Linked DNA regions of Macaca mulatta. The protein of the gene in region 7 binds, or shares a complex with, the protein of the main gene of each other region. Links are inferred from orthologs where the notes say so. Each region holds a gene or a part of one and is shown on either strand. Other genes may lie near its edges. The genes, in order: BUD13, GPKOW, SNRPD3, RBM48, SRRM2, TSSC4 and SNRNP200.

Region 1 (3,500 bases), on a different chromosome or scaffold from region 7:
GAGAGGGATCTGGTGAATCATGACGGACTCTCCTAGGAGATGCACCTGAAGAATTATGCTGAGGCCTCCTGGGAGGAGAAGGATCTGGAGAATCATGACAGGCCCTCCTTGGAGGTGAAGTGTCTGAGGAGTCATGACGGATCCTCCTGGGAGGAGATGTGTCTGAGTCATGACGAGCCCCTCTGAGGGGAGAAGGATCTGGGGTGTCATGACGGGCCCTCTTAGGAGATGAATCCGGGGTATCATGACGGACTCTCCTAGGAGATGAATCTGGGGTATCATGACGGACTCTCCTAGGAGATGAATCTAGGGTATCGTGAAGAAAATGCCTGTGTGAGGGTAGGTCTTCATTGTGGCCTAAACACAAAAAACAAAGAGTCAGATTCCCACAAATGCTCTGTCCCTCTGTCCACCCCCACACCCAGTTTCAAGACATGCTCCAGCAGCACATACCTCAGAACTGCTCAAAAAGCCCAAAAGGCCTGCACAGTTTTCTTGCTTAGCGGCAGCAAATCACCACTCTGAATATCTTAAGAATAACCCCTCCACCTACCAAGTCATAAATTTGCAAAGCATTTTCAGTACATTTTTCATATTATACCCTTTAAGGTAAGCAGGGCAGGTACCCTTGTATTATGAACAGAGCCTCTGTTTTCAGCTGAGGAGCTGAGCGATTTCTTACCCAAGGTCACAGCTACTAAGATGAAGACACAGGCTAGAATCCAAGTCTTCTAACTCCCAGTCCAATGTTCTTTCTAACACCTCATTTGTGCAGAGTTCCCAGCTAGTGGCTCCTACTGATATTTTGCCTAGATACTTTATAGTTTGTACTCACTCCTCTTTCAAAAGGTAAATTGACTAAAACGGTGAGTATCAAAATCAAATGCTGTTAACTATTTAATCCATTTCACTGTGCTCTTTGTTAGAGAGCAGAAAAAATCACAAAAAAAGAAAGGAGCAAGTAATTACCAATCACCTACTGTGTGCCAATGTTTTATAGAGATTACCTGATTCAATTCTCATAAGCCTAGGACATAAATATTGTCATTTCCATTTTATAGATGAGGAAGTTAATACTCAGAAAGATTAACTTGCCAAAGTCATATTGCTAATAAGTGGTGGAGGAATATTTAAATTCAGCTCTATTTGACTCCAGAGTCCATATGCAATCTTTAAAATACGTAAATCTTTAAAGTTAAAATACAAGTTTGAGACCTTCCATTTTCAAAGGCACCACAGAATGAAACATCTATAGCATCTGGAATGGTTTCAAAATCCAGTTCTTCCTCTACCTCTATCTCTTGTCATTGAGCCCCATAGCCCAAATAAAAATAAAGGCTGGGCAGGAACCAATGAACACTTGCTAAATGAATGAATTAAACCAAGTCACCTCCTTTACTTTGGGGAACAGGCCTATCTGATTGGAATCCACTCCACAGAGAAAAGTATGATGTCTGTGGGGGGCCTAACAGTAAATCTGAAGGAAGTAAGGGTCAGAGATTGGTAAACGTATTTCCAGTAACAGATTGGGATGAGGAAGTGAAAGCAAGGCAGAAGAAAAGGAGTAAGTGAGTGAGTGAGTGAGTGTGTGTGACTGACTTTCTAAACATTCAGATACCGAAAAGCACTGTGTGTGTGTGTCTGTATGTCTTCCTAGACAAACAAGATATGGAGACCAAAAGACTCTCTGTGGAAAAGAATTCTGGTTAGGCTACAAAAATCAAATGCCTACTAGCAATTAAGCAATTCTACAGATATTTATTAAAGGCAGCTCCTTGTGCCAGACAGGGGACTATCATGGCAAATAAGACCAGTCTATGCTCAAACAGATGTGACACACAAACACTTTTTATCCAAGTCTCAAGGACTCAAATTTTTTTCAAGAGAGTTAAGTTATAAATATTAGCTTAGGAAGAGTCTAAAGTGGGCAGGTGGAGGGTAATGCACTATAAAATACCAATATTTAAGGAAAGAAGAGAGAAATTTACTAACACAAACAGAACAAAAAACATTGGTCCTTGACCCCCCCAGAAATGAGTTGCTTCATTGTGGAAGAGGACAGTGGTAGCTAAAGTCCCCAAATTCTGTTCCTGTTTCTTGTAAACTCCTCCCAAAGTCTTGCCTATATACCAAGGGCTCTCCTATTCTGAGTCAGAGGAATGGGTGCTCACAGGCCTCCAAATTAGTCACCAACCTCAGTAACCCTAATGCCAAAATACAAGAGAAAGAGGAATATCTGGTCTCTAAGTTCCTATGTCTTACTACTTCTGAAGAAGTCCAGCTTCCTTTTTCCTGCTTTATTTTTCAGGATCAATGACATGCTAAAAAAAACTATGCATTCCTCTAAAAGAAAAGTGTAGAAAAGAAAAAAAGACCTCCCCTACTAATGGAGATTTAGATTTATCTACTGTTGGAACTCACCTCCCAGAAGCTTCCATTTGGCACTGGAACGAAAGGCCTCCATCTGCTTTACCTCTTCCGGCCGCTCATCCACAAACTCTGCCACCTGTGGGAGTAAAGATTTCCTATGCTGAGGAAATCCACAGGATCCAGCCAAGAAGCACTGTCTCAAGAACCTGAAGTTACAACCATTCCGATTCCTAACCTAAGGGCGCACACATATCCAACATGGTCATGAAGAAATAAGTAGGGGTCTTCAGTTATGCTAGCTCCATAAGCACCTGATTGTCACTGTATTAGTTGGATAATTCAATTTCCCCGCAAAGGTTAATTTCTTTCATTACAAACCTTTTTATTAACCTGCTAGGTACACAACAGCCACTTGTAAGCTAACACTAAATTCCTATACACTTTTACTTCTACATTAAGAGTGAAAACATCGGTGGCCCCCCATCATGCCTAGCACTAATCAAGGACTTTGGGTTTCTATGAAACCTTTCTTGTTGTAGGTAGTCACAATAATAGATTTTCTTGAATACAACCAAAAACAGCCACTGAGATGTACACAGAATCATTAATCTTTAAGAGCTAAAACCACATTTCTTATCTTCCAAACTTCCGAACGAATCAGAATCTTCTCTATAGTATTCCTAATAAATGGCCACTCACCCAATCCCTTCCTGACAAGGACCTCATTATCTTACAACGCAGTCCACTGCATTTTTCAAAAATGTTAGAAAGTTCTTAGTTTTACTGGTCTCATCTCTACCTTCCTATAACTTCTTTGAATTGATTCTAGTTCTGACCTCTGATGCAACTGATCCCTTTTCCACATGACAAATTTTCAAAGAATGATGGCATAATAAATCCTAGTTACAGAGTAGCAACTATGTGCAAGGTACTGTGTTTTGTGTTTTACTCATATAATCTAACTCGATTCTCACAATAACCCTGCAAAGAAAGGCTCCACACTACTGAATAGCAAACTGACTCAGAGAAGTTAAGTAACTTTCTCAATATCACAAGCTAACAAGTGGCAGAACTGGAATTTAAATCCAGGTCGTAACAGCCCTCTACTTCTCCGAAAATCCTACCATCAT
Region 2 (4,015 bases), on a different chromosome or scaffold from region 7:
CCACCTCAGCCTCCCAAAGTGTTGGGATTACAGGCTTGGCCGACTCCAAGGTTTTTATGCTGAGTGAGAGGAAGGATGGATGGAATTTTTGGTCACCTGATATGTATAAAGCTGCAGGAGGAGGTTTATAGAGGGAAAAATTAGAGGAATGAGGTTAAAGCTGGAACAGGATGAAAGGATGAAGAGGGAAGTGAGGATCTTTTTTTTCTTTAAAGATGAAGGAGCTGGGCACAGTGGATCATGCCTGTAATCCCAGCGCTCTGGGAGGCCAAGGTGGGTAGATCACCTGAAGTCAGGAGTTCAAGACCAGCCTGACCAACGTGGCGAAACCTCGTTTCTACTAAAAATACAAAAACTAGCCAGGCGGTAGTGACACGTGTCTGTAATCCCAGCTACTTGGGAGGCTAAGGCAGGAGAATCGCTTGATCCCGGGAGCGGGAGGTTGCAGTGAGCCGAGATCGTACCACTTCACTCTAGCCTGGGCCACAGGGCAAGACTCTGTCTCAAAAAACAAAAAACAAACAAAAAAAAAAAAATTGAAGGAAATCAGAGCACATCTGAAGGCTGAAGAGAACAGTTCAGTTGAAAGAGAGTGTTCTGGGGCTGTAGGAGAACTAGACTCCAAAGAAGCAATGTAAGAAATTTATGAAAGAAGAGGTGAAAAGTCAGGTCTGTGGGTATGAAAGACAGACTTGGTTACTCCTGTAGACACGCCTCTCACATCTCCTCGTCACCTTCCATCATCACTCCTTCCCATTCACTCCAGACACACCACATGTTGCCTCACTGATGGACACACACCACATCGATTTTCTGCCACTATGCCATTGCTTGGGCTGTTACTACCAACAGGAACACTCACTCTGTTCTTCCCTCTCACTAAACCCTACTTATCCTTCCAGACCACTCTGGTCTAAGTCCCCAGCATCTCTAGCCTGGACTACTCATCCCCTTGCTTCCACCTTCACTAATGAGTCTGTTCACAGCAGCCAGAGGGATGCTGTCAAATCATAAATCATATTTCATCTATGCTCAGGGCTTGCCTAGGCTCTCATCCCACTCAGAGTAAAAGCCAAAGTCCTCACAATGGCCTACAAGGCCCTGCCTTGTCTAGCACCCCCATCTCCTTTCTGACTTCGTCTACTATCCCTTCCCCTCACTCATTCCACTTCAGTCACACTAGTCTCTTTGGTGTTCCGCAAACACTCTAGGCAGTGTCTACCTTCAGGGCCTTTACATTTCCTGTTCCCTTTGCTGCACACCTCATTCAGATAATCCTAGGATTCAAGTACGTTTTTAGCATCCAGATATCCAGATTCATTTGGTAATGCTTCCAAAAAGGATGACAGGAGAAAGGACAGGTGGCGGGCCTCTAGCACACAGACTTTCCCTGCTATGTGCAGGGACACAGCCTAGCAGACAGGGCAAAGAAAGGCTGGGGCAGGAGGGGGACAAGGGGCCAGCTCACTGTCTCTGCCCGGGGTTCGCTGTCTGCCCCTTCCCCGCTGGGGGTGCATCCTTTCTGGATCATGGGGATAGCGAGCGTGGGGTCGACACCCGCATTCTCTCTCTCTTCCAGAGACTTCTTGGATTCTAAGGGAAGAATAGGAGGGAGCAATGAAGTCCCACTCTATCCTTCCACCTTCTTCATCTTCTTCCTTCACTGGGGAAGGGTAAAGGGGCATCACTCACCCTCAATGAGCTCCTTCACAGCCTGGGACAGCACCCCATCTGCCAAGGCCTCAGTATCTGTGGATGGCCCAGGGGGCCGGGCTGGTGACTGCCTGCGATGGCCATTCTGGATCAAAGGGATGACGAGTTCCTTGGGGGCTTCCTGGGGCTTCACACTGATGTGGACACAGAGGGGTGGGGTTGGGAGAATGGCAGTGTCAGTGGGTCACACTCCTTTATTCAGAGAAAACACGAGAGCCAAACTCACCCCAGCCCCACAGACCATGCCTTCTCTACTCCATGTCTGGATCTCCTGTACCTCTCTGATCGTGCATTCTTTGGATTATCCCCCCCAGTGCCCCCAACTCGTAAATGTCAGTGCCTTCGAGAAATAAGTCCTGGACTCTCTGTTTAACTCAAGACCGGCTTCCACAATGGCCCACAAATCACTATCTTCAGCCTAGACCCTCCCTAGCTCCAGGTTCCCAAACAGCTTCCCAGATGCCTGATTCTCTTCTGGAAATCCCTCCCTCAGACTCTCCTCTCCTCATTAAGCTGATGGTGGCCTCCATCAACCTGAATCTGCCGCTCCATCCCGTTCCCCATATCAGAGAAGCCCCACCACTTCAGCTGAGACACTAGCAGGTCCTGTCATTTTCTCATTCTTTCCTTCTCCCAGAACGCACACACCTCAGTGTCCTCAAGTCCTAAAGACACTTCTTCTCAGTGATACATCCTCTCTTCGCAATTCCCACGGCTATCAGGCCCAATTTCCCCACCCCTCTTATAAACTCCAGCCTTCTGGCCTTCACGAATTTACTCAGGCTGTGCTTCAGGCTTAACAGGTCACTGTCACCAAGACAAACGACTGAGTGAGGTTCCTCCCTCCCGCTTACGCCCACCGCAGCGATTTCCAAGGTGTGAAAGACCCGGCGCGTCACCTCTGCAGCTCCCTCCCTTCCACGGTTTTCAAGAAATCCTTCTCCTCCGGAGATGGCCTCGCGCCGTCTCCCGAGTCGGCCAGCCGCCTCCGTGCGGACGTGCGAGTGAAGCCGAATGAAATTGGGGCAGTGGAAGCAGCCGTCAGCGGCAAAACACCCTCTTCGGAGTCAGCCATCTTGCCACTTTTCCCAGGCCTGCGCGCTGCTTGCTGGGAAATTTAGTTTGGGTTCAGATCGCTAGGGGCCGGCCAAAGTGCGTAAAAACTACCTTCCCATCAACCACTGTGGCACCGGCGGGAGGGGGCGGTAAGGGGCCGTGGGAAGTAATTGTCGCTCTTTCAAACGTCGTGGGAGTGCGTCGCGCCAAGTGCACAGGGAAATGTAGTTTTTTTTGTTTTGTTTTGTTTTTGTTTCTTTTTTTTTTTTAAGATGGAGTCTTGCTCTGTTGCCCAGGCTGGAGTGCAGTGGCGTGATCTCGGCTCACTGCAACCTCTGCCTCCCGGGTTCAAGCGCTTCTCCTGCTGCAGCCTCCCGAGTAGCTGAGGCTACAGGCATGCGCCACCACGCCCGGCTAATTTTTGTATTTTTAGTAGAGACGGGTTTCACCGTGTTAGCCAGGATAGTCTCCATCTCCTGACCTCGTGATCCGCCTGCCTCGGCCTCCCACAGTGCTGGGACTACAGGCGTAAGCCACCACGCCCGGCCGGAAATGTAGTTTTTAGCGAGGTAGGCATGGTGGAAGGTGGATTCATTCTTGCCAGGCATTGATTCCTTCGTGTAGGCGTTTGACAAGTATTTATGGAGCGCCTACTGTGTGCCCTACTCATGTGGGAAGTGTTGATGAAGTAAATCATTTAGAAATAATCAGCCAGGTGTGGTGGCGTGCACCTGTAGTTTCATTTAGCCCACAGGCTGAGGCAGGAGGATGGCCTGAGGCCCAGGAGTTCGAGGCTGCACTTAGCTCCTATCGCGCCACTGCATTCCAGCATGAGTGACAGAGCGATACCCCGTCTCTAAAAAAGAAAAAGTCAGGGTCGGGGGCGGGGGAAGGAGTGTCAGTTGTCTACAATAGTAAATAATAGACATAAAGTGCCTACTGGCCAGGCGTGGTAGCTCATGCCTGTAATCCTAGCATTTTGGGAGGCCTAGGCTGGTGGATCACCTGAGGTCAGGACTTTGAGACCAGCCTGACTCATATGGTGAAACCCTGTCTCTACTAAAAATACAAAAATTAGCCGGGCTGGTGGTGGCACCTGTAGTCCCAGCTACTCAGGAGGCTGAGACAGGAGGATTGCTTGAACCCGGGAGGCAGAGTTTGCAGTAAGCCGAGATCCCGCCACTGCACTCCAACCTGGGCGACAGAGCGAGACTCTGTCTTAAAAAAGAAAAAGAAAGAAAGAAAG
Region 3 (3,972 bases), on a different chromosome or scaffold from region 7:
AAAAAAAAAAAAAAAAAAAAAAGGCAAGCCGGGCATGGTGGCTCACATCTGTAGTCCCAGCACTTTGGGAGGCTGAGACAAGTGGACCACAAGGTCAGGAGTTCGAGACCAGCCTGGCCAATATGGTGAAACCCGTCTCTACTAAAAATACAAAAATTAGCTGACATGGTGGCAGGTGCCTGTAGTCTCAGCTACTTGGGAGGCTGAGGCAGGAGAATCGCTTGAACCTGGAAGGCGGAGGTTGCAGTGAGCCAAGATCGCGCCACTGCACTCCAGCCTGGGCGACAGAGCAAGGCTCCATCTCAAAAAAAAAAAAAAAAAACTTTATTAAAAAAAAAACTTTATGTTAAGAAAAGTCATTAGAGTGGGCCCTATTTCTACATGCCTGGTATCCTTATAAGAAGAGATCTAGACAGAAACACTACAGAGTGAAGACCAAGTGAAGACACAGGGAGAAGAGAGTCATCTATAAGTAAGGAGAGAGGCCTGGAACAGATCCTTCCTTCACATCCCTCAGAAGAAATCAGCCTTGCCAACACCTTGATCTCAGACTTCCAGCCTTCAGATCTAGGAGAAAACAAATTTGTGTTGTCTAAGCTGCCCAATCTGTGAAACTTTGTTATTGGCAGCACTAGCATACAAATACAAGCAGGGAGGCAGGTGGCTGCCCCCCCACCATTGGTCAGGCATGTGACATGCATCTACTCATTTCTTCTGCACTATGGTTCCTTCTGAAGCCAAGGAGCTATTTTTATCCCTGACTTAGAAGAGGGACCAGAGGACGAAGGAGGTCCAAAGCTCACCCCAAGTCACCCTAGGTGGCAGGCTGCAAGCTGATTCCAGGTCTGTCTGACTCCAAGTTCTGTGCACTTTGTGTCACGTGGACTGCATCTCTGAATGGCCACCGAGGTTATCTGGTTAGACACCTTCATGTTATGGATGGGATGACAAAGGCCCTGGAAACCCAGCAGGTTGTCCAAATACATATAGCTAGATGACAAACCCATTAAGATTCACTAACCCAAGTCCTGCATTCTCCTCACCAAATTAAAGTACCTTAAAGTGGATGAGCATGCCTTAAGCCAGAGGTCTGGATATATGAAAGAGAGATGATAAACCTATCTACTGTCAATAGATAAACTGATCTATTGACAATGATGCAATAAACCTGAGTCACCAGAGGTCTACTTCTCTGCATCCAGGGAACTGACCAAGCTTGTCAACCTCGCAGGAAGATGATAGACGCTCAAAGCTACAGAAAAATCACAAATAAATGAATGGCGCAAACCAATAGATGGTCAGGATACCTGACCGTGGTGTAAGACGCTTTACCTCTCTGACCTTCTCATCTGGAAAAAAGCAGTAAACACCATACGTTGAACACTTACAGTATGTGAGGCACCGAGCAGCTATTGCACACATATAGCTCATCTGATCTTTGTAAAAGTCCTGGGGGTGTGGATATTATCCCTGTGGCAGTCTTAAGGGTGTGCTGCTCAGATCTCCCTCCAAAAGAAAACAGGCTATGAGGAGTGAAGGCAGCCGACAATCTCCATCTTTGCAGTCCACCATGGCATTCAACTTGGGGAGAGAGACTGTCTCCCCAGGCTGCCAGCCAATGGAATGAACACACCAGGGGTGCCAGTCTGCCCATTTCTGCCCCATGTTAGATTCTTCTAATGAGCAATCACTGCCTTGCTGAGACTTCCTCAAAACTACACTGTAGTCTAAGGTTCTTCCTGCTCAATCCTCCTTCTTTCCCCTCTCGTTTCACCAGTCAGACCAGCATCACGGACTGAAAATTTCCCTGCCTACTACTGTTTCCTTGTTCCTTTATCCTTTATTGTCATTTCCCCCAATAAATACCTTGCATAATTCTGTCTTGGCATCTACATCAAAGAACCCAAAATAATAACACTCCCGTTTTACAGATGAGAAAACTGAGTGATTAATACATCTAAGGTCATATAATTAGGAATCAAACCCACATCTCTCTCTGACTCCCAAGTCCAAGTTCTTAACCAATGGTTTAAAGAACAAAGAAAGTGTGAAGATACAACTGAAAAACAATGCTATAAAAATTCAGATGACTATGCAAAAGGCAAAGCTGCGCCATGAGAAGGACACCGTATCAAGAAACTACTCCATTATTTACTATCAGAGTGATGAGTCCTTTAATCTCATTCTCCCTATTTTATGGATGACAAGACTACCACCAAACCTGCTTACCTCACAAGGTAGTTGCAATAATCAAATGAGACTCCTCCTCCAAGAGAAAAGGGAAACAAACACAGTATGTGAGAAGATTCTCCTAACTGCAAAGCAAGTGGAGGCAAATGGATAATGGCTCTGAACCTGAAGGATTCTACTGAAGGAACTTCTCCCAAACAGGTCCCCAAATTTGGGGATGGAAAAAACAAAAAAGGCGAAGTAAAATATTCCAAATCTCCAAATGGCTTTTCTGCCTCAAGACTATGTGTTTTGTTCATGCCCACATCCCCAGAGCCTATAACAGCACCTGACTGGTATGTGTTAGGCACTCAGGAAATCACTGCTGAATGAGAACAATTTACAGAAGACCCCCAACCCACACCTTTCTGTCCTTCAAGACACAGGGCCATTCCTCCCACACAGCCTCACATGCAAAGCAGAATACCTGGCAGTTCATGTTGTCCTCTGCTTCAATGAGCTTCCCCCGATATACCTCACCGGTGTTCGTCTCACATGTCACAATGTGGCCCTCGGCCTCGTGCAGCACTTTAATTGGCACACCAATAGACATCTTGGCAGGAAGAGAGCTCTACAGTGAAAGAGACAACAGTCAGTTCATCTTTCAGAGTCTGAGAAGGCATGCGGCACACGTCATGCCTCCTTCAAGGCCTGGCACTCCATAAAACTTAGCAAAAACGCCAAAGCTGCATTTTCTATCAAAGAAAAAGAAAAAAGAAAGCTCAGCTCCTGGCTTGGAGGAAACTATCTGGCAAATATGTGCAAGATGTCGGGTGAGGAGGAATGGTGGGGTGGACAGAAGTAAAAACAGGAATGAAAAGAGAGCATCTCCCATCGACCATGTGTCCCTGCTACCCTATGTCCCTTAATCTTCAGCTAAAGGACCATTAGCGAATACTGTGTGTGTAGGGGAGGGGGATTGGAATGTTAATCTGTTGCACTGTTATTTGTCAACCCTTAATTGTAGATTATTACATTTTGACAATCATAACACAGGCCTGAGCTGTCCAATACAGTAGCTCATGTCCACATGTAGCTATTTAAATTAAACTTAACTAAAACACAATAGAATTAAAATAAAAAACCCAGTCCCTCAATCCCAGTGGCCATATTCCAAGTGCTCAACAGCTACATGTAGCTGGTGGCTACCCTACGGAAGGAGCAGATACAGACCTAAGGACCATGCATATCTAGGAGAGGAGACTGTACTTTTAATGCAGCTCTTTAACCCTTCCCTTACTTTACCATCAAGGATATTGAGAAAATATCAAAGTGACAACGTGCTATATGCAGGAAATGCCCGTCATGGAGGAAAATAAGGGAAAGCACCTGACTTGACCTAATTAAAAGCATCAAGTAGTGAACTTTTTATTGACATGAGCGACGACTCAAAGTTGGAACCTAAGTGCACCTAAGACAGGAGAACATGAGGTTGAAAAGACAGGCTCCTTTGGTGAGGATCCCTGGCTTTCAGCCTTAGGAGCCTAGATTTTATGCTGAAGATAGTGGGGAACCACTGCAAAATTATAGGTAAAGAATGACACAATGAAAAGGTAGCAGCATTTATTTACAAAATGGATCTAACGTAAGGTTTAGAAGCAGAGAAACTTGTTAAAATTTCTGCAACAGTTAAAACTGCTGCAACAGTGTGGAAAGCATGACGGGACCACTGCCTGAAAGGGAGCTGGGGGCAGAGATGCAAAGAACTTTTTAAAAAATGACCGGCTGGGCGCGATGGCTCAC
Region 4 (3,967 bases), on a different chromosome or scaffold from region 7:
CCTGAGAAAACCACACATGACCCAGTAAAATCAAGTGCTTTTGTGGTAGATTATGATTTCTACTGATAGCACATGAAAGAAAATATGAATTGTAACAGCCAGAGAAGGATGGGTCTCAGAGCAGATTAGTGAGGAGAACAGAGATCAACATAAAAATAGATAAGGCATTGCATACTTCAGCCTTTTTGGAGCAGAGGGTTTATGTCACATAGAAGGCCGGAAAACACTGAGTCAATTTGCAGAAAGGAGTAACAGTAGAAACCACAATAGCTAATGCTTACTGTATTCTGACCAGGAGGCACTCTGCTAAACCCTTTATATGGATTATCTCATTTCATCCTCATACAACCTCAAGAAGTAGATAGGTCCCTTTACCATATAGATTTTACGGAACAGGAAAAACTTAAACAGGTTAAATAACTTGTCCAAGATCACAAAGCTAGTAAGCAGTGGAAATGGAAAACTTACTCCAAACCCAACATTTTTTTTTCTTTTGAGACATAGTCTCACTCCATCACCCAAGATGGAGTGCAGTGGTCCATAAATGACTCACTGCAACCTCCACCTCCTGGGCTCAACTGATTCTCCCACCTCAGCCTCCCAAGTAGCTGGGACTACAGGAATGCACTACCACGCCCACCTTGATTTTTGTATTTTTAGCAGAGGTGAGGTTTTGCCATGTTGGCCAGTCGGGTCTCGAACTCCTGGGCTCAAGCTGTCTGCCCACCTTGGCCTTCCATAGTGCTGGGATCAAATTCAACTTTTTTTTCTTTTCTTTTCTTTTTTTCTGGGACAGTCTCACTCTTTCCAGGCTGGAGTGCAATGGCATGATCTTGGCTCACTGCAACCTCTACTTTCTGGGTTCAAGTGATCCTTGTGCCTCAGCCTCCCCAGGAGCTGGGATTAAAGGCTTGCACCAACACAGCTAATTTTTGTATTTAGTAGAGTCAGGGTTTCACCATGTTGGCCAGACTGGTCTTGAACTCCTGACCTCAGGTGATCCGCCTACCTCCACCTCCCAAACTGCTGGGATTACAGGTGTGAGCCACATGCCTGGCGCCAAACCCAAATTTTTTCTGTTTTTTTTTTTTTTTTTTGAGACAGAGCCTCGCTCTGTCATCCAGGCTGGAGTGCAGTGGTGTGATTTCTGCTCACTGCAATCTCCACCTCCCGGGTTCAAGCGATTCCCATGCCTCAGCCACCTGAGTAGCTGGGACTACGGGTCTGCACCACCACACCCAGCTAATTTTTGTATTTTTAGTAGAGCCGGGGTTTCCATCATGTTGGCCAGGCTGGTCTTGAACCCCTGACCTCAAGTGATCTGCCTGCCTCGGTCTCCCAAAGTACTCTGATTACAGGCGTGAGGCGTGAGTTATTGGCGCCCAGCCCTCAAACCCATTTTTTTTTTCTTTGAGGCGGAGATCCCCTCTTGTTGCCCTGGCTGGAGTGCAATGGCGCAATCTCGGCTCACTGCAACCTCTGCCTCCTGGGTTCAAGCAATTCTCCTGCCTCAGCCTCCTGAGTAGCTGGGATTACAGGTATGCGCCACTAGACCCGGCTAATTTTGTATTTTTAGTAGAGACGGGGTTTCACCATGTTGGCCAGGCTGGTCTCAAACTCCTCACCTCGTGATCCGCCTGCCTCGGCCTCCCAGAGTGCTGTGATTGCAGGCGTAAGCCACCGTGCCTGGCCAAACCCAACTTTTACTCTACCACGCTACAGGACATTAAATTGTTAAGCATGGGATGTGATGGATACAGTGTTTCAGTAAAGTTAACCTGTAAAAAGGCTGTAGGAAGATATGCTAGATTACATTTTGGGGTAATTCAGATATGAATGAGGGAAACTTGGGGCCAAAATGACAGAAATATGAATGGAGGAAATGAAACGAGTCATTGCTTAACTTGCACCTTACCTTGCACTTTGTAAGTTCATAAATTTAATAAGATAAACTTCAGTAAAGTCTTCTGCTGGGTATTCATCTAGCGCATTGTACTGTTCAATTGCACCATATAAAGCGAATCGCTCAACTAATTCCTTCATGACTCCCACAGCAGGAACTCCTTGTATTAATAAGTACTGAGATTCCAAATTGATTGTATATACCTGAAAGAAATGCATAGTTATTAAACGTATTTCGCAAATAAGCCTAGGACGAATCTGCCTCTATTTTTTTTTTTAAACAGAACTTTGAAAACAAGAAATAATCTGTTCAACCCAGTCAGCAAAAAACACAAAATAAAATTTCTGCCATTCCCTCTGCATAAAGAGTAACAGTCCATGTGAGAGGCTACCTAAGGCATATAACAGACTACCTTCAGTCGACATTTTTTTCCAGAAATTGAGTCGGCAGAAGTCACTGGGAACAATCACTCAACGAATATTCACTGAGCGCTTACCTGTGCCAAGTAGTACTGTAAACACTGAAGATCCAATGACTAAAACCAAGCCCTATTCTCGTGGAGTTGATGTTCTAATAGTTGACCAAAAGGGTCGTGAGAATCTTTGGTACCTGGCCCAGGGTTCTTCACGCCAGCTCTAATGAGCGACAGATCTGACGGAAGCCTTGTCGTGCCTTTATTTCCGTAGGTTAGCCATATGGCGCTAGCGCTCACAAAAAGCTACCGAGGAGAGCGAATGAAACCAAAAATCACTTTACCTTGACAGCACGAGGCCGTCGTCCCTCCCGATATTTGGCCCGCGTGTCGCACACCGCCCTCTGGACGTGGTGGTCAAATAAACTCCCTAACTCCCCACCGCTGGACGCCATCTTGCCTACTTTGATCCTCGCAGGGAGGACAACATCCGCCCTGCTGACCTCCCTTTTATCCAATAAGAGAGCGGGATGAGTTAAGGAGTGTCAGGATTGGCTGAAGAATCGACAGCGTCGGCCATCGTTTCCTGCGTGCGAGGATTTGATGAACGAGGTGCCGCCCCCGAGCGGCTTGGCGGAGAGGCGCGGTGGGTGACAGAAGCTTTCTTGTCCCACCCCACTACAGGCTTACGGCGAGACGCGCAGCGGGGAGAGGGGGCGGGGCCTCAGGGGGCGGGGCCGATCGATCTCCTCCGGTTCCGACGTCCTCGGCCTGCCAGGTCCCGTGTCCTTTGCGGCGCTAGGGTGGGCAAACCCAGAGCGACGCTTCGGGACGATGTGGGGCAGCGATCGCCTGGCGGGTGCTGGGGGAGGCGGGGCGGCAGTGACTGTGGCCTTCACCAACGCTCGCGACTGCTTCCTCCACCTGCCGCGGGGTCTCGTGGCCCAGCTGCACCTGCTGCAGGTAACGTGCTGGCCCCGGGCCACCTGATCTTCAGCCTGGGGTCGGACAAGGCCGAAGCCTCTCAGGGACGCGGCGGGACACCGGCTGCCACCCGGGCGCCCCCGAAGCGTACAGAGATTAGGGTCCCTCGACGGCAGGGCCCTTCTGGTTAGTCTCTGCATCCCGCAAGTCCAGTGCAGCCCTGGGCTCGTCTTATCCCAGGTCTTTTCACTTGGTGAAACTGGGCCTAGAAATGTCCTAATATTCTACCACTGTTTTTATAAATATTCCTCATTCCAGGCTGGAAAAGTTCCTGATAAGTGGTTTGTTTTTGTTATTTTAAAAGGTGCTTTTCTTGCCAGTCATTTCCAGTTACCTGCGCTGCTGCCGTCCGGGCCGCGAGAGGGAGGCGCAGAGTTGTTGGTGGAGCCCCTGTCGGTCCCCGGGGACTGAGCACCGCGTCCCATGAGCGGGAAAGCTTAATACAGTAATGGTTCTGCCCTGCGTCCCAGACCCTCGGAACACAGCTGTAGTGTGTCAGGAACACATAACGTAGTTAAGATCACTTGAAGCTCTGCGATCAGTCGCCCTTCTGGACGTTGTGGTTGGGATGTTTCGCAGTTCTAACCACCGGTGGAGATACAGCGTCCTTATTTTCGTAATTAAAAATAGAGGCACATGGTCTCACGAGTTTGAGTGTGGTTATGGGG
Region 5 (3,500 bases), on a different chromosome or scaffold from region 7:
GACCCAAGGAAGGAGGACATAGGGCAGGGCAGGGAAGGGGCAGGGCAGTCTTCTCGAAGGTGCTGTTTGAGCGGAGTCTTGCAGAACGAGGAGTTCACCAGGCGGACAAGGAAATTCCAGGCAGAAGGAACAGCATGTCCAAAGGCATGGGCTCTCCTTAAACTGCAAGGCGCTGGGTGTGGCTGGAGCACAGGGCATGTGTGGGGGCGGGCAGGAGGAGAACACAGGGCGGGCAAGGCCCGTTGGTGAAGAGCCTCACACGCCACTCCCGCAGAGGTGGGGCTTTGTCCTGCAGGCCACAGGGCGTCCCGAAGGATTTGTGGAGTGGAGGGAAGTAGCCAGATGTGCGTTTTAGAAAGGTCCCTCTGGCTACATGTGGAAGAGAATGGCGTGGAGGCGGGGAGACAGGGAGGAGGCTGTGGACAGAGTCGGGAGAAGATGATGGTGGCCAGACCAGAGCCCTGGCAGTAGCAACAGGGAGACAAAGCTAGAACCCTGGGACCAGGCTATGTGTTGAGGGAGGGAGAGGAAGAAACCAAGGACCCCCCAGTCCTGGCCTGAGCGCCCCTGTGGATGGCGCAGCCCTTCGCCAGAACAAGGTGCAACAAGCGGGGGAGAGAACAAGCGCCTCTTCCCCCACAACCAGATGCCCAAGGTCACGTGAGACACCCAGCCGGGAGCTCACACCCCAGGGCCCTGTCTCTGGATAAGTCACTCCCCCACCCTCCTTCCATCTCAGGCAAGGCAGCACTCACCTCCGCTCGCCAGGGGGTGGCTTCTTGGGGCTTGCAGGTTTGGGCAAGGCCTGAGGGCCAGGCTTAGCAGGGGAAGGCGAGGAAGAGGAGGAGGAAGAGGAAGAGGAGGAGGAAGAGGAAGAGGAAGAAGAGGAGGAGGAAGAAGAGGAGGAGGAGGAGGAGGAGGAAGATGAAGAGGAGGAGCTGGAACTGGAACTGCTAGAGCGCCTCTTCCGTTTGGCTGGGGTTGGCTCCGGAGGACGTCCCTCTCTAACAGCCTCCTTTGGGGCTGGGGTGGGGCTGGGGACCCTGTGGGAGGAGAAGAGTGTCACAAGGAGACAAGCTGCCCCAGCCCCAACCCTACCTTCCTTGGCCTGGAGGAACGGCAGTGGGGGGAGGGGTGCCTGAGAAAGGTGCTGGGAGCTCTCCTAGCCCTGTAAGCCAGCAATTCTCTGGAGAGCAGTGGTGCGAGCTGACCCAACCTCTGCTAACAGAAGCAACAGGCTGGGGCCCGCAGCATAAGGGATCAAGGTTAAACCTCAAGAATGTCCCTGATGGAGGAATAAGGCCTCTGGGCTCAGGTGTGGAAGCTGAAGCTGGGTAGTCTCCTTCCTCGGAGAGCCGCAGCTTGGGGAGGCCCCTGTGAGTGCAGGTTGGCTGGGGAAGGGGCCGTCCTGCCTGGAGGCAGGGAGAGGGATGGGATGACCTCTGAAGATCCTTCCAGCCCAGGGAGTTCCTCTTGAGGTCTAACTGCCATCCCTCCTGCTGTAAAATTAAGTCCATTTCCTCTAGTTCTGTCCTCTGTAGAGACGGAAAACTTATCATTATCCTCTAGAGAATGAACCTTCGGAGACTTTTATCTGTCCCACTCCTCCTCCCTCCGCCCCCGCCCCAGCATTCTCTTCTACCCCCAGCCTGAGGGTCAAGGTCCCCATACCTCCTCCAAGAGTCAAGCACCTGTGACATGGTTTCTCCCTCCCCACTCCCAACCCATCCCCAATACCTCCCCACTGAAGGATGCTAAAGTCAAGCTCCCTCACCTCTTTAGTGCCACCTCAGGTTGCACAGGAAGGCTAGAGCCCTCCGAGTCGCTAGAACTGGAGCCAGAGGAGGAAGACGAGGACGACGACGATGAGGAGGAGGAAGAAGAGCTAGAGGACGAGGAGGAGGAGGAGGAACTCCGCCGCTCCTTTGCTGGCTGCAGGGCGGCTAATGCAGAAGGCTGCTGGGCCCCAGTAGAGGCAGGTGGCTCCCCCACATCAGAGTGGGGCACCCCGGGGGCAGGGACAGAGAGCATGCCATTGTGGTCACCAGCAGAGGACGTGGTCGTTGCCACCGCCCCAGAGGAAAGGGACTGAGACCCTGCTACGGGGGTGGTCTGGGCAATCAAAGAACGGGACTGGTCTGAAAAAGCAGAAGGCACAGGAGACCTCGGCTGATCCTGTGCTGGAGGGAGAAGAGACTGTGAAGGAGCCTGGCCCATTCTAGAGGAAGGGGAGGGAGCCCGTTCAGAGGTCATTCTAGACTGGCTTGGGGCAGACGGTGGTGTTCTGGACCTGGCTCGGTCAAGGAGCGGTGGTGAGGTTCTGCCACTGACACGCTCATAGGCAGAGAGGGGCACCCTGGGGCTGGTGAGGTTTGCACCAGACAATGTTGGAGCCATCCTAGCACTGGTGAGGCTCGCGGGGGCCAAGGCTGCAGCGGTTCTGGAGCCGGCAATATTCACAGGAGCTGTGGCATGTGCAGACCGAGGACCCACCAGGTTTGCAGAGGCTGGAGCCTGTGGTGTTCTGGAGCTGGAGGGATAGTTTGCAGCAGCTGGTGGGGTGCCAGAGCCTGTGAGACTCAGAGCTGCCAAGGCAGCTGGGGTTCTGGCCCCTGCTAGGTTCACAGCTGGGGCTGTGGGAGTGCGAGGGTCAGCCAGGTTCACAGCCGAAGGTGCCACCGCTGTTCTGGGGCTGGCCAAGTTCATGGCCGCTGCTGCAGCTGGCGTTCGAGTGTCAGCCAGGTTCACTGCTGTTGGGATGGCAGGTGTCCTGGCGCTGGCTAGGTTCATGGCTGCCGCAGAGGCTGCAGGAATCCTGCTGGCAAGGTTGGCTGCTGGAGCGGTTCTGAGACTCATGAGAGGCACCGGGGCTGGAACCTGGGACATTCTTGCAGCAAGGCCAGCAGCAGACATGGACGGAGGAGGCCGAGCAGTGCCAAGACTGATAGCGGTCAGGGCAAGTGCAATCCTGGACTGAGCATGATTTTCTGGCACAGATGTTCTCTGGTGGTCAGGTATTCGGGGACCTGGACCATCCATCATGGAGCCACCGGCTTGCTGCAGGACAGACATGGGTGTTCTAGAGCTGCCGAGGGGTTCAAGCATTCCAGGTGATCTGCAGCGGTCAAGAGGTGTTGGGGACATGCTAGGACGACTAAAGCAGCTCATTCTGGAGCTGTTGAGTGCTACCGGAGGTGTCCGCGAACCAGAATGATTTCTTGTTGCTGGAGGAGTAGCAGATCGTGAACGATCAGAACTACTTCCAGATGCTGAACGCCTGCGGATGGCTGGAGGAGATCTTGTTAAGGACCGTTTGCCCCGAGCTGCTCGTGGAGTACGGGATCTGGAGCGGCGCCGGATAGCAAGTGGTGAGCGACTTCGAGAACGTTTGCGTGGCAACAGTGGCGTTCGAGACCTAGAGCGGCGCCGAATAGCTGGAGGTGTCCGGGACCTAGAGCGGCGGCGTGTCACTGGTGAGGTTCGAGAGCGGGACCTTCTTC
Region 6 (4,010 bases), on a different chromosome or scaffold from region 7:
GGAGACCTGGCACAGACCCACTGTGGACAGGCCCTGACAGTGCCTCCACCTCCTGCAGGCCCCCATGGGGGCTGCCCCACTCCTCGGCCTCTGGGCTCCCGGGCCCGGCCAGATGGGCCAGCTCCACAGGGCCCTCGCCCCTGTCTGTGGCAGGGTTCCCAAGGCCACCCCTGCCCGGCTCTCCCACCTTCCCCAGGACCCTCTTCCTCTCGTGTCTGGCCTCGACGCCTCGGACTGGTTTGGTGAAGACGACCCTCCCCGCCCCACAGCTGGAGGGGTCCTGGTTGAAGGAGGACACACAGTCAGTGGGGGCAGCCAGGCTCTGGGAGCCCAGGAAGGCCAGGGCGGCGGCCTGATTGCTCTGCTCGCTGACCTCGGTCACATCTTCTAGGCTGTACTTGGTCCAGCGCTCGGGGTGTGCCACGTAGTCAGGGACCGGAGGCACCCTTGGGGAGGCGGGGCTCCGACGGGCCCCGCCCAGGCCTTCCACTGGAGACCGGCCTGAGGGCGCTAGGGGCTGCTTGAAGCCTCCATTGTCACTCATGCTTGTGTGGGCCACAGAGGATGGAGCCCTCCTGGCCGCTCCCTCCAGGCAGTCAAAGATGTCACGGCTGCGCTGGGAGAAGGTGGAGCTCATGCCTCTCAGATGGAATGGCTGCACCGTGGCCGGGAGGAGGCCTGACGGGGGTGAGGGTGGTTCATCAGGACCTGAATCCTCCTCCCCAGGCAGCCCCAGCGGGGACAGTGCTTCCACTTCAGCACCACCGGGCAAGCTGAGGTCAGAGTCCGAGTCGCTGAGGGAGACTGTGTCGGAAGGCAGCGTGTCATACTCCGTCCCGTGCTCGCCCTCCACGCTGGGGGACGGCTCACCTGTCCCTGCATCAGCCATGGGTCCCCAGGGCCACGCCACACCTAAACCAAAACGGCCCAGGAAGTTTGTCTCTCAGGAGGAAAAGTATTGAGAATGAGTTCCCCCTGCAGATCCACTGCCCCTGGACAAGTAGAGAATCAACTGACAGAACCGTCCCACACAGGGTGGAGTCCCGCCTCCCCCTCCAAGCCCTCCTCTCACCTCTCTTGGCTGCTGGGTGCCAGTGGTTGACACTGGAGTGTGACTGGACAGCCAAGTGGGCCAGGTGAATGGAGCCCTGCTGAAGGTCCTCAGTGGCACAGGCGTGGTCGTCTCAGGCCTGGGAGTGCCCCAGCATTGCCGCTGTTCAGCTGCTCAACTGCAGGTGGGTGGGGTGGGGGAGAGGACCAACCTCAGACCAGAGCACACATGTGTGAAACAGGTTGTGTCCAGTGCCAGCACATTGTCACCCCTTAAGGTGCCAGGCAGGACCGACCTAAGTCTGGGTTTTCAGAGCCCCTGACAGGCTAGGACTCAGGGTAGGGACTTTTGACTCGTTACCTCATTTAATCGTGCCAACCCTCTGCAGGCAAGCTTGGAGCTACTAAGCGATTTTAGTAGTAAGCAGCCACCCAGGGCTTAAACCCAGGGCCGAGATCAGGCAGGAAGGCCACTTATAAGCTGCTTGCTGTGCAGGGTGAGCAGTTGGTACTCCACAAAGAGCCGGCACCTTCCTGATCCATGGGGAAAAGGTTTGCTCCTATTTGCTGGAAGATCCCCGGGAGCTCCCAAGGAATCTGCAGCCAAGGCCCTGGCATCTGAGGGTCAAGCTCTCAGGAAAGTGGGGTGTCGACCATCACCTTGAGCAGCCCTGCTAGGCAGAAGCAAATCCCCGCAGCTCCTGGAGCGACCTCCAGTGACCTTCCTCCTGTAACACTCAGCACATACCTTGCCTTTCCAGCTGGGCAGACAAATGCTGCCTCCTGTACCCATTTAGCGGTAGAGTGACTAGGTGCCTCAGAGCTTGCGTTTCCAAGCAAAAAAGACGGCCCATCCACACCCTTCTTCACTGTCCTCGGCCATCCATCCACTGACTCCTCTCCTGCTACCAACACTCCTTGCCCGCCCAGAGTGACCTGTGTCTTGTGCACCCAACAAGGATGGGGTCAGGGGTACTATTAGGGACTGTCAGTGCCCTCCACCAGGTCAAACACAGGAAGGACCTCAATTCCTCTGAGGCCTGACTCTCCTCAGTGAAGAAGCCACCCCAGGGAAAGGCGATACCCAGTACCCCCCACACTGATGACCGTTTTAAAACTGGCAGGAATGGGGCGGGGGCCATAATTTGCCCAAGTCACACAGTATGTTGCAGACGAAGCTGGAGTTCCAACCAGACCCCTGCTTCCCAGATTCGCACTCCCGTCCTCTGCAGCAGAACGCCGCCGCGGCCAGAAGCAGCCTGGTCAGCGGGGCACTCCGAGGGGGAGCGGGGATCGGGCTGCAAGACAGGGACTCCAGGAGTCCGTTCTCGGGGTTCTCGGCGAGATCCGGCAATGAGTGGAAGGGCAGAGTTGACTCCTTCATGTCTGGAGACTGAAGGAAGCCGTCTGTTTCTCCACATGAATGCAGAGCCGGGCCTTTCTCCACTCTATGTGCCAGCAAGACCTCCCCGCCAGGGAAAGAACGAACTCTCAGTGCCAAGTTGGCTCTCGGTGCGAAGTCGGGCTGGACAGGCCCGGGTCCGGGCCTCAAGAGGATGCTGTGGGTGCCAAGGGCCCGGTCGCAAGGTACGGGGGTTGGCAAGCACAGCGGGGCCTCCGAGCTCAATTTAAAGCTGCGCTCGGTGACCTTCCGGAGGCTCGGCCGGCCACCGTGGCCCGTCCTCCATCAGCACAAACCTACCGGCTCAAGGATGCACGGCAATCTCCATCTTGGTCGGCGCCGCACGTCCGCGCGGCGCGCTCAGCCCTCTGGGAAACCGAGTGCTCTGCCGGCGGAGCGCCGCGGTTTCCGCACCTGCAGAACTACAACTCCCACAAGGCACTGGGCCTCCACTCCCGACGCCTGTCGGGATGTGTAGCCCTGTGCGCATGCGCCCGCCCCTCTACGCCCCGGCCCTTGGGTCCGGCTCGGAAGCGGCCCCGGAAACGACGGCATTTGTTGGGGAACCAAGACCGGAATTGACCAAGAAGAACAGGAAGAGGAGGGGCCAGGCCTGCAATTCCCAGAATGCTCGACGGCTAACCGACAACCGGGCCGGCTTCCCGTGGTCCCAGCGCCACCTGCCGGAAACCGCGAGAACAGCGGCCGCCCCAGGCAGGAAGTGCATCATCTCGTATGGAGAACGAATGCCGTTCCCAGCACTTCCGGTCATGACCGGAAGCGGTAACTGTCGCTCCTCCTGGGCTTCGTCAATGCAGCGAGGCGGGGCTCCCCGGGATCCCACGGTCCCGCTCAGGCCAGACGCAGAGGCGGTCCCAGCCCGAGATGAAGACGCGGGGTCGTGGCCGCTGGGTCACGGGTGAAGGGGGCTTTACCCGCTGGTTGGGCCGACGCTTTCCCACCCCTAGGGGTTTACTGGGCCCTGGCCGCAAACTTGTGGGGCGTCGTCCTCACACAATTGCCCGGCCACCCTGACACCTCTGGGCCCTCAGCTCTGGTGCACTGGTCCGGGCTCCGGGAGGCACTGAGACGTCCCCCGAGGGCTCTGCGGGGAAGCTGGGGCCAGGTCCCTGGTCCTTCCGGGCAGGATGGAGGCCGCTGAATGCTCAAGCTTCCAAGTCAGCGTGGCTGGGTGGGCGGCAGCCGGGAAGGTTTGGCCTCCGCCGTGCTTGGGAGCCTGTCCAGGGGGCAGGTCAGATGCCCGCCCTGAAAGGGAAGACGAGGGCCCAGGTTCTCCCTTCGACAAGCCGCGTCTCCCTTGGCCACTGGCCCTGTTGGCACCTTGTGCTCCTTCTCAGCTGGGAGAGTTCATGCCCCACACAGTCAAGGAATCTGAGTTCCCCGTGGCTGCTAGACCTCTGGTCCCTCTGAAAGGCTCGAGAGAGAACTCCCCCAGGGCCTGCTGTCCTGGCATCCGCTGGGAAATAGGATTCAAGGACCTGCTGTGGCTCAGCCTAGAGAAAAGGAGGGGAAGCAGGACCCCCTCCTCGGCCCCCGG
Region 7 (3,500 bases):
ATACCAGACTAAGACTTCATCAACATACATCTTTGGGAAGGAAGAAAACCGACTGAAATCTTAAGAAACTCTAGACACTAAGTGTTTATTATGGTTCACTCTAGCAAAAGGCGGCTCAATAAATGTAACAGGACCTAGGCATGGGGAAGAAGCACTAACACCCAGAAGTAACCTTGCAGCAATGAGAAAAAGCAAACTGAACTTACATTAGCCGAGAGGGTGCAGCGCACAACAGCCTCATCCCCTTCCATGTCATCATCAGATGCCTCTTCTCGAACCTCCCCGTACACATCTTCATCACCTTCCTGTGGAAATGGCCCCAACTCAACCATTATCTGGAGCTGATCCTGCATCACCACAGAACCTCTCCCTCAAGTCACCCTAAATTAGCTCAATGGTTAGAGAAATGGCTTTGGGGTGAAACCGAGAGCCTACTGGAACCAAGGTCAGCCTTATTCCAGTGGACATGTAATAGAAAGACTGCTTGGCACAGACTTATTAGATGCATCTACTTTCTGTTTCTTACCTTAGGCTGCCACAATGGCAATCAACTGGACCATAGCCTCTTTCTAATACACAAACAATCAACACTCAAAAACAGTGATCAGCTAACAGAAGAGAAGAGCTATGCAGAGGCACGTCTGAGAAAGCAGATGGTGACTCGGGAATGAAGAGATCACACTAAGCTTGCTCACCACTCCATTTACTCATACACTGCACATTAGGCATACTTGGCACAGTGTCATAGTCAAAGCAGGTGCTTCAGTAACGAGCACTGCTAAATGAATGAACTGCTACAAGCAAAGCAGTTTGTTGCTACTTAAAATCATCAAATCCTATTAACTATACTGTAGGAAGTGGCTTAGCAATCACCTATTGAAATCGCCTCATTTTATAGAAAGAGAAACTGAGGCAAAATGACCTGCCAAGATACAGGACTCAAATTCAGAAGTCTTGGCTCCTAGTCCTCTAACTCTCCCCATGCAACCCCTTCTTCCAGCCCTGGTATATATACCAGGGATCCATTTTCCCTTTCAGGAGCCAAATCTACTCACTGAGAACTCTAAGGCACTCTGTAATTTTTTCAAAGTACCCCACTTATTCCTATTTATATTCAAGGAATTCTATTAGACGGTAAACATTAACTCCACTGACTTAACCATGTACGAACTACAGCCATGCTCTAAGGCAAATGTGCAATCTTTTGAAACAGGCAGTGGGGACACAGTAATGAAAAAAGGGAAAATATTGTAATACGTTTAAAATGCAGTAAAACATAGCAGATACATTCTCAAAGTATTCACTGTACTTTATCTTTTGTCTTTCTTTTTGCTGATCCACTTGGTATATTTTAAATAATTACGTTGCTTTACATTTGTTAGTTTAAATTTGCTGTAGAAAAGTTAAAAGATAACTGCATTTTTTTTAAGCAAAAGAACATATAATGCCTAAGTCTGAAACCCACACACCACCATAAAATGTATCTGGTTTAAACTAGGGAGCTTCTTTACACTACAAGGGGTCCCTTTACCTTCATCAACTTCAAAAACAAGAATGGACTGGGCCTGTTTATCACTCACCTCCTCATCAGACTCAAACTGCACATTCACACCATATGTCTCATCAATGTTGTCATCTGAAACGACGAAGGATTAGAAAAAGAGGGCAGTGAATGGCTAGTAAAACAAGCCACTCTGGAGCCAATGTCCTCCCCAACTACCTCTCCTCAGGAAAGATCTAAGTGCTAAGGACACACACAGGCACTTAGATGATCAACACGAGAGAGCCACCTATGCTGCCACTGCCAAGACCTTCTCCACCTGCCAGCCCTGGAGTCAGCCCAGCTCTGCTTGCTCAACCACTTGAGCCCCCAAGGCTCTGCCCACATTTTCTCCCATATTCTACACAACAAAAGGGTCTCAGAGTAAGGAACAGCTGCTGAAATCTAGGGATTCTGGTGTCTATCAATTATAACTCTTCAAAAAACACACAACAAATTATGGGAACTCACTGACACTAAGGTTTTTAAATGAATGATGCTAGAAGATGCATGCTTAGGGGTCAACAACAACCAGTTAACATGATCAGGACATAAAGAGCTCACTTACCCATATTTTGGATTTCCTTGTCTCCACCATAGTCTGTGATCTTTTTTCCCAAGTTCACTAGCACGTGGTATCTGGTATCATCTGTTTGACCCAGCAGCAGGTCAATCTCCTTTCGCCTTTCCTTGTCCCGCAGCTTTTCATTCTTTAGAACAGCTAGAACCTCATCAGCTGCCCCACAAAGGATATCACGTGGCTGGTAGCAAGAAACAACCAATCAATATTGAGAATGATGACAGACAGAACATCACCAATCAGGTTTATGTGGCGGCAGGATGCGAACAGCCACACTTTCTCAAAACCTGTTGCATACTAGGCTCTGATCTTTCTCATTAATGCTGATTTAAAATGCCACAACTAAAGGAAGACTCATCTGTTTTTAAAAAGATTAGCTAGGTGGCCTCAAGCAGCAGGACACAGCTTCCACAACAGCTTGCCACATCTCCAGGTGGCAGTCACTTGGCAGATCTCCTCTAGCCTGCCACACTTTTGTAATTCTTTGTCCTCACTTCCTCTAGCACCCACATCAACAGAGCTCCTCAGACTCATAATGGTCCCCAATCTAATCACACATGTGTAATGGTTAGGAACACAGATTCTAGATATAAACTATCTGGATCATATCTTGGCTCTGCCAAATACTACTTCTGTGACTTGGGAAAATTACTTAATTATTCTTGCCTCACATCTCTCTTCTATAAAATGGAAAATGAGTATTAACAGCACCTATTCACGGAGTTACGTGAGGGGGCGGGAGAAAGACACGTGCTGTTCCACACAAATCGAGTGCTCGGTAAATACAAGCCCCTTCTGCAGACCAGTACATCCCACAAAGGGATCCAGAGGCAAGGTTCATCTGGAGCCTCCCAGTTGTGACCCTCTCCTTTTCTGACACACGGTCTCATCCTCTGGCCGCCTCGCTCTGAGAATATAGAAATAAAGCAAACTTGGCCGGCTGTGGTGGCTTGCAACTGTAATCCCGGCACTTTGGGAGGCCGAGGCGGGTGGATCACGAGGTCAGGAGATCAAGACCATCCTGGCTAACACGGTGAAACCCCATCTCTACCAAAAATACAAAAAATTAGCCGGATGTGGTGGCGGGCGCCTGTAGTCCCAGCTACTCGGGAGGCTGAGGCAGGAGAATGGCACGAACCTGGGAGGCAGAGCCTGCAGTGAGCCGAGATCGCGCCACTGCACTCCAGCCTGGGCAGCAGAGCGAGACTCCAGCTCAAAAAAAAAAAAAGAAATAAAGCAAATTTGTTTTCTCTATACTCTTACAACAATTAACACAGAAGGCTTCTGTGACAATTCCTCCCCACCAGCAACCAATCCAAAAATTGTGCAGTGGACACAAGCTGGTGTCCTCAAATTCAATTCCGTTCCAACACTAACTAC

What was found.
Region 1: SNRNP200 (region 7) and BUD13 share a complex: the UniProt entries of both Homo sapiens proteins name them as parts of the minor spliceosome. The link is inferred for Macaca mulatta from reciprocal best matches to the Homo sapiens genes SNRNP200 and BUD13.
Region 2: SNRNP200 (region 7) and GPKOW share a complex: the UniProt entries of both Homo sapiens proteins name them as parts of the minor spliceosome. The link is inferred for Macaca mulatta from reciprocal best matches to the Homo sapiens genes SNRNP200 and GPKOW.
Region 3: SNRNP200 (region 7) and SNRPD3 share a complex: the UniProt entries of both Homo sapiens proteins name them as parts of the U4/U6-U5 tri-snRNP complex. The link is inferred for Macaca mulatta from reciprocal best matches to the Homo sapiens genes SNRNP200 and SNRPD3.
Region 4: SNRNP200 (region 7) and RBM48 share a complex: the UniProt entries of both Homo sapiens proteins name them as parts of the minor spliceosome. The link is inferred for Macaca mulatta from reciprocal best matches to the Homo sapiens genes SNRNP200 and RBM48.
Region 5: SNRNP200 (region 7) and SRRM2 share a complex: the UniProt entries of both Homo sapiens proteins name them as parts of the minor spliceosome. The link is inferred for Macaca mulatta from reciprocal best matches to the Homo sapiens genes SNRNP200 and SRRM2.
Region 6: the proteins of SNRNP200 (region 7) and TSSC4 are in contact, whole or in part, in a cryo-EM structure (PDB 7PX3), measured with the Homo sapiens proteins. The link is inferred for Macaca mulatta from reciprocal best matches to the Homo sapiens genes SNRNP200 and TSSC4. Residues at the interface, in NP_054733.2 of Homo sapiens: Arg1438, Arg1475, His1502, Lys1748, Gln1749, Val1752, Asp1753, Thr1756, Trp1757, Tyr1761, Arg1762, His1778, Leu1781, Ser1782, Asp1783, Leu1785, Ser1786, Glu1787, Val1789, Glu1790, Gln1791, Glu1807, Met1808, Asn1814, Met1817, Ile1818, Tyr1821, Tyr1822, Asp1928, Ser1931; in NP_001284587.1 of Homo sapiens: Val198, Ser199, Ser200, Phe201, Asn202, Gln203, Asp204, Pro205, Gly211, Arg212, Val213, Ile214, Phe215, Thr216, Lys217, Pro218, Arg220, Gly253, Pro254, Val255, Glu256, Leu257, Ala258, His259, Leu260, Ala261, Gly262, Gly303, Phe304, His305.

What each region holds. Positions count from the first base shown.
Region 1 is NC_133419.1:117,438,531-117,442,030, forward strand, and holds part of BUD13 (BUD13 homolog), read right to left. Parts: intron 2,507-3,500; coding exon 2,422-2,506; intron 358-2,421; coding exon 1-357. UniProt on the Homo sapiens protein: Involved in pre-mRNA splicing as component of the activated spliceosome. As a component of the minor spliceosome, involved in the splicing of U12-type introns in pre-mRNAs.
Region 2 is NC_133426.1:49,204,849-49,208,863, forward strand, and holds the start of GPKOW (G-patch domain and KOW motifs-containing protein), read right to left. Parts: upstream 2,801-4,015; 5' UTR 2,789-2,800; coding exon 2,613-2,788; intron 1,848-2,612; coding exon 1,693-1,847; intron 1,594-1,692; coding exon 1,469-1,593; intron 1-1,468. UniProt on the Homo sapiens protein: RNA-binding protein involved in pre-mRNA splicing. As a component of the minor spliceosome, involved in the splicing of U12-type introns in pre-mRNAs.
Region 3 is NC_133415.1:28,770,555-28,774,526, forward strand, and holds the start of SNRPD3 (small nuclear ribonucleoprotein Sm D3), read right to left. Parts: upstream 2,801-3,972; 5' UTR 2,783-2,800; coding exon 2,657-2,782; intron 1-2,656. UniProt on the Homo sapiens protein: Plays a role in pre-mRNA splicing as a core component of the spliceosomal U1, U2, U4 and U5 small nuclear ribonucleoproteins (snRNPs), the building blocks of the spliceosome.
Region 4 is NC_133408.1:126,862,844-126,866,810, forward strand, and holds the start of RBM48 (RNA-binding protein 48), read right to left. Parts: upstream 2,801-3,967; 5' UTR 2,771-2,800; coding exon 2,660-2,770; intron 2,107-2,659; coding exon 1,916-2,106; intron 1-1,915. Other genes in the region: peroxisomal ATPase PEX1, read left to right, coding at 3,150-3,278. UniProt on the Homo sapiens protein: As a component of the minor spliceosome, involved in the splicing of U12-type introns in pre-mRNAs.
Region 5 is NC_133425.1:4,049,204-4,052,703, forward strand, and holds part of SRRM2 (serine/arginine repetitive matrix protein 2), read right to left. Parts: coding exon 1,775-3,500; intron 1,536-1,774; exon of another isoform or gene 1,441-1,535; intron 1,044-1,440; coding exon 756-1,043; intron 417-755; exon of another isoform or gene 1-416. UniProt on the Homo sapiens protein: Required for pre-mRNA splicing as component of the spliceosome. As a component of the minor spliceosome, involved in the splicing of U12-type introns in pre-mRNAs.
Region 6 is NC_133419.1:2,307,463-2,311,472, reverse strand, and holds the start of TSSC4 (U5 small nuclear ribonucleoprotein TSSC4), read right to left. Parts: upstream 2,801-4,010; 5' UTR 2,753-2,800; intron 1,722-2,752; exon of another isoform or gene 1,581-1,721; intron 1,230-1,580; 5' UTR 1,073-1,229; intron 913-1,072; 5' UTR 890-912; coding exon 1-889. UniProt on the Homo sapiens protein: Protein associated with the U5 snRNP, during its maturation and its post-splicing recycling and which is required for spliceosomal tri-snRNP complex assembly in the nucleus.
Region 7 is NC_133418.1:5,035,329-5,038,828, forward strand, and holds part of SNRNP200 (U5 small nuclear ribonucleoprotein 200 kDa helicase), read right to left. Parts: intron 2,302-3,500; coding exon 2,109-2,301; intron 1,637-2,108; coding exon 1,581-1,636; intron 306-1,580; coding exon 207-305; intron 1-206. UniProt on the Homo sapiens protein: Catalyzes the ATP-dependent unwinding of U4/U6 RNA duplices, an essential step in the assembly of a catalytically active spliceosome. Plays a role in pre-mRNA splicing as a core component of precatalytic, catalytic and postcatalytic spliceosomal complexes.